Nothobranchius furzeri: one gene and its partners. The protein of the gene in region 3 purifies or fractionates together with the protein of the main gene of each other region. This does not show direct contact. Links are inferred from orthologs where the notes say so. Each region holds a gene or a part of one and is shown on either strand. Other genes may lie near its edges.

Region 1 (3,500 bases), on a different chromosome or scaffold from region 3:
GATGCCTCATGGACACCTTCCTGGTGAGGTTTTCCTTACACCTCCAACCAGGAGGAGACCTAAAGGAAGACCCAGGACACGCTGGAGGGACTATGTGTTTTGGTTGGCCAGGGAACGCCTTGGGATTCCCTCGGAGGAGCTGGCCCAGGTGGCTTAGGCTGTTGCTCTCGCGACCCGACTTTGGATAAGCAGATGAAAATGGATGGCTTAGTTCCAGTGCTGCTACAGAGAAAAACTACAAAGACGGCACATGTTTGAAACGGCTTTGGCATCAACTTTGGATGATTTAGACTTTGAGACACGAGCAGATATAAGTACTTAAGTCCTTCACATGGAAGAAAAGATGTATTTGTTTCTTTTTCTTCGACGTGGATGGCAGACTGCCTTGTTGACTGATTTCTGCAATAACGAATATGTCACGTTTTTTTTGTTGCTCTGATTGGTGTTAGTGGTGTCCAACAGCATGCAGAAACAGTTTGAAGGACAACTGTAGATTCTGCCCCACGACTGAGTTCTGTCTGCGGGACTCGTGAGCAGGCTGGATGTTCTCAAGTAAATGAAAAGCTAAATAAATAAAAGCTGATAGTCGTAAAGTCTTTCCTCCTTTTTGTTTTAGAATAAATACATTTAGGATATTATTGTATGTTTTAGTTTAGTTCTCTCTCTGTTGCCATACAGACTTTTTTAGGCCCAGTAAAACATTGTGGCTGCGTCTCTGCTCGTCATTAACTCACACTGAACCAGTGCCACTATGGAACCCATTAGCCATCAATCTGGGCTGTTGAGCGAGTGGTAAATTTGCTACTGGCAAAAAAAGTTATGAGGATATTTGTAACACTTGAGCACTGTTTTGTTTTTATTGTTTTGCAGCAGCATGAGGAGGAAATTAAAACTAACAGGAAAAGAACAACAAAGACTACTCAGGAGCGTCAAATAGGTGGTGCAAGAATCTGGCGATACGATATAAATCACAATACGGGGGAAATACAGGGGAGACAATACGATATATGACGATACTAAAAGCCAGACAATATTTGCGATTTTTAAATCAGAATTTCACTGGAAAACTCAGTCTTCCAACAAGACACATATAGCCTGGCCTGCCAGACTCGTCCTCTGTTTAATTCTGCACAGAGACAGAGTCTGGTAACTCACAGGCAGAGAGGCACTTGAGGGGCGGGACTAGGCAGCTCAGAAATAACCAATCAGATAAAAGACGGAAATGCCGACTGTACCGCGCGACGCTGCAGTATTTTTAGCTGCAGTAAAAACAGGCGTCTGGCAAACATCTTTTTTTTTTTTTTTTTAGAAGAAATGCTTTTAGTGCTTCCACTTGTTGCTTTAAAGACATTCAAGTCCTTTAGAACAGAGAAAAGAGCCGCAGCGAACGTCGCCGCTGTCTTCGTTGTTTATGAGAAACTGAGCATCGCTGTGTGTGACGTCCGCGACGCTGTAGCTTTTCAGCTGTAGTCAAAAATGGCGTCTGGCGACAGCGCAAACATATTTCTTTAGAAGAAATGCTTTTAGCGCTTCTACTTGTTGTTTTAAAGACGTGTCCAAGTCATTTAGAACAGAGGAAAGAGCCGCAGCGAACTCTGCTTCAGTCACCATGTTTATGACAAACTCGGCATCGTGGTGTGTGACGTACGCTACTCAGCGCTGATTGGCTCGGTTAGAATTCTCAGGGGGTGGGGTTATTTGAATGAGAACTTTAGATCATTTTCCATTGAATTGAATCACCACGATGGGCAACATTACGCTTGTTTTTGCAGCTTTTTATTTTTAATTTTTTTACTTCAGTACCTAACATTAACTAAAAGTGCACAGTGCTGACAGAGCACTGGGACGAGGCCTAGTACTTGGCTCTGTGTGACGAGTCGACAGATTCCTACCATCTCCTGTCACCGTGCTGTCACTACTCCACACAGGTGCATGTTGACGTGCTGCCTGTGCTCCAGGCTCCTTCGGGTGCTCTTTCCATCCTGATGAGAGCTGCTGTCTCAGCTGATCAGGGGGAAGTGTTTTTAGTTTCAGAAAAGGGAGTTGTGGCCAGATAAAAAGTTACCTCAGAGTAACAGGATTAGAGGCTGATCTCTGAGCAGTGGGTACCAATTGACATCAGCACCAGGTCAGGAGGAGCACGGGTGAATTAAAAGGAAAGGAACACTTGTGCAAACTTCTACTTATTTGCTAATTATGTTGGAGAAGCTGTTGATCCTTCCTCTTTTCAGAAAGGCACATCCAGTCCATCGCTCGTCTTTATTCTTAGAATGAAGCCTCCTTCTCTAGCGGGTTGCACCCGCTGCTGGGAGATGGTCGACAAAGAAACAAAGAAAACGCTACTCATTTCTCAGAAATCAGCTCTCCTGGTGGCTGCTTTCCTGCTGAGGTGCTTGATTGAGTTCACAGTAGAAGTTGCCAGTTTGGTACCTAAGCAGAGGGCTGACTTCAAAGTAAAGAGAAAAAAAAAGATGAAACCTAAAGTAAAAGCTGGGGATGAGCCGAAAGAGAGGAGAGGTTTTTAATAAGGTCAGAACTAAGGGGCAAAAGGTCTGTGAGTCAAAGCTGCACATCAAATTTCTTCATCAAGTTAATCACATACTGAGAGGGTGAGGAGAGGAGTGCTGTGTTGCAGCGGCCGAGGTGTCCGAACGTCTTCAGTCACATTTAAGATCAAATGTGTGGCGTGTTTTAGCGAAGAGTGTGCAGCTGCTGATGGTCTCTTTATGTCTTCATTTTCCACAGGAGAGGTTTGAAGCCTTGTTTAGGATCTACGATGAGCAGGTGACTTTCCAGATGTTCAAGAGCTTCAGGAGAGTCCGGATCAACTTCAGCACTCCCGAGGCGGCCGCTCGAGCCCGCATCGAGCTGCACGAGTCAGAGTTCAACGGCAAGAAGTTAAAACTCTACTTTGCCCAAGTGAGTTTCTACGATCAAGGGGAAAGCACAGAATTAAAGCTCTGCGGCGTTCTCGCTAACATGCACTCGGCATGGGGCCATGGCCAACCCTGGAAGATTTCTGGCCACCCCACCAATACTCTTCAGTAAATCATAATCATGTTCACACAAAACATATTACTCTTATCAAGACAAATGTGAAAGTTAATAAATAAAATGTATATCTATTGAGTAAATAAATCACAATTTAAATAAATGTTGCAGAGGCTCACCACTTCAATAGTTTTTGTGTATTCTTTTAAGACCACAACAGTGATTTAAACCATTCTAAAACACTAAAACAATACATTTTGAAACAATAAATAAAATGATTCATGTATTTTTTCTGAAATGTTTGGGTTTCTCAAATTGTCAGTCAATGAGTTGCAATGCTTACACATACATGCTTGACAAGTAATTAAAATTGCGCCCACATTTTCGGAGTTAACACACATCTCTTCAGTGGCGGAGTGGTAATCTGGAAAAACGGGAGATTTCCCGGTGGCCTGGCCGTTAAACTGGCCCACTCAGTAATTGCCGGTCATGACTAGCGTAATATCTAA
Region 2 (4,225 bases), on a different chromosome or scaffold from region 3:
CTGAGTGGAACTGGTTTGGTGGCGAAAAAAGTTATTCAGGAGCAGAGCCCTTAGCCAATAAACATCAGGCCTCCTTAAATCCTTTTCTGATGATTTCCTGTCTCAGGCTTTAAATGGTTAAATACTGACTCAATACTATGTAACACACTTAAACTGAGGGACTTGCGCCCCACATTTTCTTATAGAAAGTCAAACTACAACAAACCTCAAACAGCACAGTCAGAGGAGTGCTCTCTGCTCAGGCCAGAGATGTTTATGTATGAAGACCGTTGTGATAGGTCAGGAGCAGCAGGGCCAGAATGATTTCATTCATGAGATCAAAGCATCAGGTCAGTGGGAGCTCATCAGCTTCTACTCATCTGTGGCACACCAAAAACACACAGCAAGTTCTCCTTTCAGGACTTCATAAGGAAACCACTTGATCGTGGTCAGTTTTCTTTTAAATGTCACCAAAAACTTGAGCTATTTTCGAAAGAGCAGTGGAGAATAAATATCCGCTCAGGCAGTTTTACACGTTCGATTCAACTTAATGTCTTAAACACTACATGTTATCTGATGGCTAAATTCTTCCAGTGGTTATGGATTTCCCACGACATTTGTGTTCTACTATGAAATGCTCGTCTACAGGACACTCCAGCCTCCTCGGGTGGTTTTAAAACCCCGTCTCAGAACATCTGTGAGCTCATTCTGTTCATGACCAGTTTCTCCAGTTGTCCCAGTGCAGCCTGCTCACTGCTCCACTCCGGGTGTGTAGTCGGGGCGTCGGGTCTGCATGATCTTTGGCCGAGGTGGGCGGGCCGTCTCGTCCTGGTCGCTGGGCGCTGAACCGTCATCGTGCTCGTCGTCCTCACACACATGGACGACCACGCTGGGAGTAGTGGGCGTGGCAGTGTGAAGCTCATACGTTTCCCCTAAAGGTCAAAATGCAGGGGGATTTACACAGAGGAGAAGTCGCTTCTATGAACACTTCAAACTCAAGAAACTATGACCAACAGAGCTGACGGCTCTGACTGGAACCCTGAGATGTCCACTAGATGGTGCTCGTAACACTCTTTTGTGAGTCCAAGCGAGTTAAAAAAGGTTTGGAGAGCCAACTAGTTTCTGAGGCTGAAGTGGATTTAAGAGGAACATTCATCTGGACTTTGCCAGGTTCTACAATTATTTAAATCCACCTTTTTGTCCTCTTCCTAGCTGGGTCTGGGTCCCGGGGGTAGCAGCCCCCGCAGACTCAGGAGCAAGACCTTGAGACAATTAGACCCATCCACCAGAGGAAGGACCTCGAGTTTTCAGTCCGCCCTTCATTTATACTTTATCTAACCTTAAATGTATAAACACACAGCAGGTCATGGTTGTTAACTGAAAAAGGAAGGACATCGTCCATCACACTAATGCAACAACAAGTAGAACCTCCTTTAGACATTCAGAAGAGTCTAAACCACATCAAAGGTTCTGTTCTGTAACCGAGACAGAGTCGGGCGCTCTGATGAAAGGGTTTGAGTTCCTAACTGAAACCCTGATCTGCCATGTGCCGTACCTGGTCCTAGTTTGGAGATGGCACACAGAAGGTCATAGTTGATCACCGGTGTAGCATCCTGAGACTGCTCCCAGCCGACTGGAGGAGAGGCAGGTGGGGAGATGAGGAACTGCTTCTCTGGTTTGGGAGGTTCCAGACGAGGACTCCCAATGTGAACGGACTGGAAGACAGAAGCGCCAGATTATGTTTGAGACAACAGATCAGGAAAGGGAGACCAATCAGAAACCTATAGAAGCTATAAAGAGCTCAACAACAAAGCTAAATTGTATCTTGTAAATAATAACTAACTGGTTACAAACACAAACGATCACACAATCAGTAAAAGGATTAAGGAGTGGGCGTGACCCACAGGACTTTTATTCTGACTTTACCTGAGCAAAGTAAAGCCTCAGCTCTTTTCCTCTGAAGTCAGACTTGTTCAGTCTAAGTCTGGCCTCAGCTGCTGCTAGTGGGTCGCTGAAGCTGATCCTGACACGCCGGAAGGACCGGAAGTAGTGGAACTGCACTTCTGGGTCGAAGGAACGGAACAAGGACTCAAAACTGACCTGGAGACAAGACAAGAGGTCCGACAACAGTTAGATGAGGAGGAAAGGAGCTGCTGGCTAAAGCTGAAGTGAATCACAACTATCAAAAGACTAAACAATGCTCAACTAAACTAAATCAACAGTGGAGTAAGTCTTTATACATTAGCACCTTCACAAAATGATAGTTAATTATTAGATAGGACTTAATTGTAGTGAGATTGGCTTTTAGCTCACCGCTCTAGTCAGATCCAGCATCTGCAACAGATATTCTTAACATTTCCATGGAAACCCTCTTCTAAAGATCCAAATGATCCATTTAATCCTGTTTATTTTCCATCACCACCAAACAAAATGCAATCGAGCTTCACCCATTTAAATTTCCATGAGCAAAAATATGTCATGAGTCACAGAACGGATTTTATTCAAAAGAGGTAAATCGGGATGTGAAAATATGAGCCAATGGCTGAACACTACACACACACACACACACACACACACACACACACACACACACACACACACACATTATATATATATATATAAGATATTCATATATTATAACATAAACACACACTTATGCTTCTGAGATTATTACTATCGCTGTCACATGACCACCACCCTACCTTCCTGAATCAGACACACAACCTACACAAGCCACTGGGTGGAAAAATACAAATTTGTTCATGTTGGTCCATTTTTACTTATAAAACCGATAGATTAGGGCTGCTCGATTATAGCAAAAATAATAATCACGATTATTGTGACTGAAATTGAGATCTCGATTATTTAAGACGATTTCTCAATTAATGTTGATTTTATTTGTTTTTATTCGCTCATAAATTTGCTCATGGCACAATCAGGACAAAAATAAATGAGAATCAAGATGATCACTAAAATAACTCCTGATTCCTAGTATAAAAAGACCAATATACTTACTCACAGTTTATGACCCGAGGGCTATAGACCTTGGTGTAACTCATTTAAGTCTAACCAGTACAGACCCAAATACCAATATCTTGCAAAATAGGGGCATTGCTGGTTTTTTTGTACACTAACGACTAATTTGTTAGAGCTCTGAAGGACCATGGAGACATGGATGAGCCTGGATTGAGGGAATCTGCAGTACAGTGTCCAGGATTTGGACCACTAGAGTCAAAAACATCACTGCTCTATGGACACAATAGGTATTTTAGCTATTCCATATTCAACTTCCTCCTCACTCAGGCAGGAGGTCCTGTACTTACCTGTGCCTCGTGTCGATGGAACACTTCCCGACTGGTCAGGGATGCTACCAGGCAGAAGCGGTTACACTTGCTGGTCTTAATATGCATGGCCGGTGATCCAGGAAGAAAAAAACGTTTCCACCTGATATCGGAGGTCAAGGCCCGACGGGATGCTAAGAGGCTCTTCAGCAGAGGTAAAGAGGACGGAGGTCAAGACGGGGGAGCGTTGCCTTCCCCAGGGTGGTGGAGAAGCAGAAAGGGATTGAAGCTTCTAAAGTTAAAATATATCCGTTTTATTTCCTGGATCTTGTTCTCTAGGAGCACATCTTCTCGGTCCTCACAAGGAACACAATGTGAAACATACAAGTCTGGAAACAGAAAGCCTCCTAATCCCGATGTCAAGGTTACCGAGTCTGAATCAGCTCTTACAGTCCGATCTTCGTCTGTCAGCCTCCTCCAGACACTCTCAGAAAGTCAGCTCAGTGTGAGAATGCAGAATGAAGGAATGTTCCAGAGAATTGGGTGTGGAAAGCTGAAAATGTCATTCAGCTTCCTCTAAGCTTCCCTCTCTCATTCTGCTTTACAGCCATTCAAATGAGGACGATGACGCATTGGCACCAGCCCCCTCCCCCTTTCCTTCCTCCCAGCCTTCCTCATGCCCATTCACTGACAGCCTGTTTTATATATATACATACAGGGGGAGGGAGGGGCGTTTTTTATTCCTTCCACCGACCAACGCTGACGAATCACATAGAAACAAGGGTAAGTGTGAGAGAAATAATGAAGAATGATGACATCAGAGTCAAATGACTCCATCATCTGTTCCTTGCCGCGTTTAAAAATAAATCCTTTGTGCCTCTGAGCGTCTCTGAATTTTCCATTGAAGAAAAAAACAAAAAACAAAACTAAAACTCTGACCCGAGTGTGAGGTCAGCAACTAAAAG
Region 3 (3,500 bases):
TCTCCAACAAAAGGCAAAGACCACGTGAAGACATCCATGAAGTTGGGTAACCAGTAGGGGTGGGGGGAGCAGTTGAACTGTCGGATGTTCATCACGTTGTTCTCATATTTTAATACAGCAGCTGGAAATGACAAAAACGGGGGATTTCAGGGGTGGGATCTTATCTCATGCTTAGATATTTATATAAAAACAGGAAAAACGCTGATAACCTTTATTGTTGTAGACATCTAGGTAATTGGGAGCTGAAAATATAGTAATTAATGAAGGGAACCCTGTGGTCTGGCTTTTTCTGTACATCCGATACCTGCACAGCAACAAAATTTAAACATGATTATTAGTCCCGAAACTGTAAAATGCTTTAAATGAACAACCATTATAACACTTACCCAGCATCCTGAGCTTCATGGGCTCTTATTACTGAAAGCAAGTTGTTATTTACCAAAAAGTCACAGACGGCTGAATAACTGCAAACACAGTGAAGCACAGATAACAGACCCACACGTTACTGAGTATATTTCTGTAACCAGGTCTATTTGATTCCTTTGGTCTCATTATAAAGGTAACCAGTGTGGGATTTGTTCAGGGGCAAACTGGGACAAAAATTCATGCGTGGGGTGCGCGCGGGGTTCAGGGGCCACAAAGAGGGAGCCCGCGGGTCGCCTATTGAGGACCACTGACCAAGACTTTTCAAACCTGGACTGGATTATTCTAGACCAATGTTAAAAATGAATGGATAGGCACAAGTTTAGGTGCATCATAATGACAGCCTTAGATTAATGAGATGTTTTTTTACTGTAAACTGGGACACATTACTGATTAAAAAAAACAACAACATTTCACTCATTTGGTTTAAAATGTTCTTAAAAACTCGCTTAACACATAACTTGCTCTTGTCGGTGGGCGTGTCCAGATGTAGCTTGTTTTCTTAAAGTAACTGAGCTCTGAAACGACTCATTCTGGAAGGTCCTAAAAATATCATGAATAAAATAACTGTATGAGAGTGATTTACTGCAAAGCACTACATAAGCATGTTTTGTATCAACATTAGAACTAGAAGAAAAGCTCTGATAAGTCTCCTTTAAACAACTGAACTGTTCAAATAGTGTGATGTGAAGGAGGCGGAGTTGATCAGGTGTGGATGAACGCGAGAATGATCTACAAGACCGGTGAGGAGAACGCTCGTTGTTTGGAGAACAGTCGTCTATAAGCAGACGTGGAGCTCTGGTGGAGGGATAGTTTTATTGGTGCAGCGGGATTATTGTGCTGTGCTTTAATAAAAAGACTTTCTATTGTGAACCAGCGACCTCTCGGTGGTTAGTTGAAGGTTTTAGTCAGCACCAAACCCATTATTCATTACAATAGTTTAATGAGAAAAATACTCAGAACTCTACAGTAAAACAACCAAATGCAGTCTTCAAAAGTCCCACGGGCTGTTCTGAACTTCATTTAGAAAATCAGAAGGTAGTAGGGCTCTAAAATCAGAGGTCTGACCCAATACCTGAAAAAGTAGGAGCAGCCTCTAACAGAATTATGGTTGAAGTGTTCAGATGTTTTTTCACTGCCGTAGTCCTCACCGGGGTCAGCCCAAATCAGGTCACACATGGGCCCAAATGCTGGCGGCTCTTTAAATCTGTCTAACTGTTAAACACAGACGGGACAGCAGAGCAATGGAAAGTTACATACAGAAGATAACTGGGTAATCAAATGTTAGAAAACACTCGATTCATAAGGAACACACGAAAGGAAAGAGTGAGTGAATCACTGACCTTTCTTATGTCATCTAAGCAGTTTATTTCTGGTGAGAGCCCCCCGTGTACACACAGGAACTGCTGGTTAAGCAGAGCGGCGAGGGGCAGGCAGTCAAAGGCTTCCATACAGGCGTCATAAACCCGCTCAGAATATTTGATTTTACCTGAAACACAAACATGGAGAAAACAAGACTCAGCACTGTGGGCTAGCGTTAGTTAGCCTGTTAGCCAGCGACAGCTAAACACGTTAGCCGAGGGCTTTTAGGTCCAAACTAATATTTTTGCTCTCTTGAACTGAAAAAACATTTTCTGTATTTATTTGTACTTTTTTTAATATTTGAAAATAAACTCACAAGATGTTGAGAAACCATACAAGTGGACAACAAGATAAAAATCATAAAATTAAGTCTGATTAAAAAAATTCATGCGACCCTACCAATGATGTGAAAACGCTCTAAAACAAAAATCTACCTTAGTCTGAATTTTACAAACATTATTACTAGGATTAAAAAGCACAGTGACCCACCAATGAACTGTGAGGCTGAGAGGAGACGCACTAAAATAAAGATTGTTTTTACCACATAGAATGTTTGTATATTTCATATAAAGAGTAGATTAAAACGCAGCAGTACCTCCAGGAATGGGTGAAAGAAAAGTCTGCACATTATTCTCTTTTATAAATTTACTTATTTTCAAGTGAAGAAAAAGAAAAGCATGAGCGAAAACAGGCTGCTTATCAAGCTAGTGCAGGCGGCACTGACGAGAGGCAACATCGTGAAGACGTACACACACACACACACACACACACACACACACACACACACACACACACACACACACACACACACACACACACACACACACACACACACACACACACACACACACACACACACACACACACACACACAACTTTCTCATAAATGATGATTGAAAAAAGCTTCATGACTTCACAACAGGTCTGGAGGGTCTTGTCCTTAAGTTTTGTACCAGCCCCCATACACACACAAGTAGACACACTCCCACCAGCCATCTATGCCCTCAAAGAGCTTCTGTCCCTCAAGAAGCAGCTGGAGTAGTTCTCCTGCTCCAGATCCAAGATCAAAGCAATGAAACAGACTATGATGTCCGTGAATTTTAAAGATTCATTTTGATACCAAGAACGTGCTTACCGTAAATCCTCTAATACAGGCCTGTATTTAATTAACTGCCTGGTCTCATATTTTGGCCGGTGTCGGAGTCGGTGGAGGTGAATAATGGCCGGTCTCTTATTGTGGCCGGGTGGAATGTGGTAACAAGCAAGTACGGAGGGCGGTTGTGCCATCGTCTCACTTTTGATTTGCCAGTGATAGACCGCGAGGGTAACTTTAACCGTGCGGAGACGAAGAGGAGGCGAAAATTTGATATCAAGTTCAAAGAGAACGTGCTGATTATGCTGCAGAACACTCTGGGGAGCAGTAGCAGGGGTTGTATGAACTAGTCGACTTCACTATAGTGACTTTTTATGCCTGTCGTCGACTAGTCGCTGTCACTTGATAATGACCGGCAAGATGCAGCCCTCGGAAAAGACAGCAGCCTGCTGTCAGCAGGTGACAAGCTCCTGCGCTGGGGGGGGGGGGGGCAACGCGCTGTGCCAGAGCGTCGGTACTGACACGCGATCGTTCATGTCGGTTCATTTCCTTTAATGTTTTCTGTCTTTTATTTGCGCCTGATGCGTTTCGCTGCTGTGGAGCGGGGCGCATCACCTTGTCC

The links. The genes of interacting proteins can lie anywhere in the genome.
Region 1: the proteins of ppp3cca (region 3) and rcan3 purify together in Homo sapiens (affinity purification with mass spectrometry; 3 studies listed by BioGRID and IntAct, counting the BioPlex papers as one, with this or other methods). This does not show direct contact. The link is inferred for Nothobranchius furzeri from reciprocal best matches to the Homo sapiens genes PPP3CC and RCAN3.
Region 2: the proteins of ppp3cca (region 3) and rcan1b purify together in Homo sapiens (affinity purification with mass spectrometry; 3 studies listed by BioGRID and IntAct, counting the BioPlex papers as one, with this or other methods). This does not show direct contact. The link is inferred for Nothobranchius furzeri from reciprocal best matches to the Homo sapiens genes PPP3CC and RCAN1.

The regions. Positions count from the first base shown.
Region 1 is NC_091758.1:28,327,939-28,331,438, forward strand, and holds part of rcan3 (calcipressin-3), read left to right. Parts: intron 1-2,745; coding exon 2,746-2,919; intron 2,920-3,500.
Region 2 is NC_091743.1:81,115,966-81,120,190, reverse strand, and holds the end of rcan1b (calcipressin-1), read right to left. Parts: intron 3,617-4,225; exon of another isoform or gene 3,390-3,616; coding exon of another isoform or gene 3,303-3,389; intron 2,080-3,302; coding exon 1,906-2,079; intron 1,695-1,905; coding exon 1,535-1,694; intron 912-1,534; coding exon 730-911; 3' UTR 501-729; downstream 1-500. UniProt on the Homo sapiens protein: Inhibits calcineurin-dependent transcriptional responses by binding to the catalytic domain of calcineurin A. Could play a role during central nervous system development.
Region 3 is NC_091757.1:27,072,524-27,076,023, forward strand, and holds part of ppp3cca (protein phosphatase 3, catalytic subunit, gamma isozyme, a), read right to left. Parts: intron 1,913-3,500; coding exon 1,767-1,912; intron 1,639-1,766; coding exon 1,499-1,638; intron 465-1,498; coding exon 387-464; intron 305-386; coding exon 210-304; intron 122-209; coding exon 1-121. UniProt on the Homo sapiens protein: Calcium-dependent, calmodulin-stimulated protein phosphatase which plays an essential role in the transduction of intracellular Ca(2+)-mediated signals. Dephosphorylates and activates transcription factor NFATC1.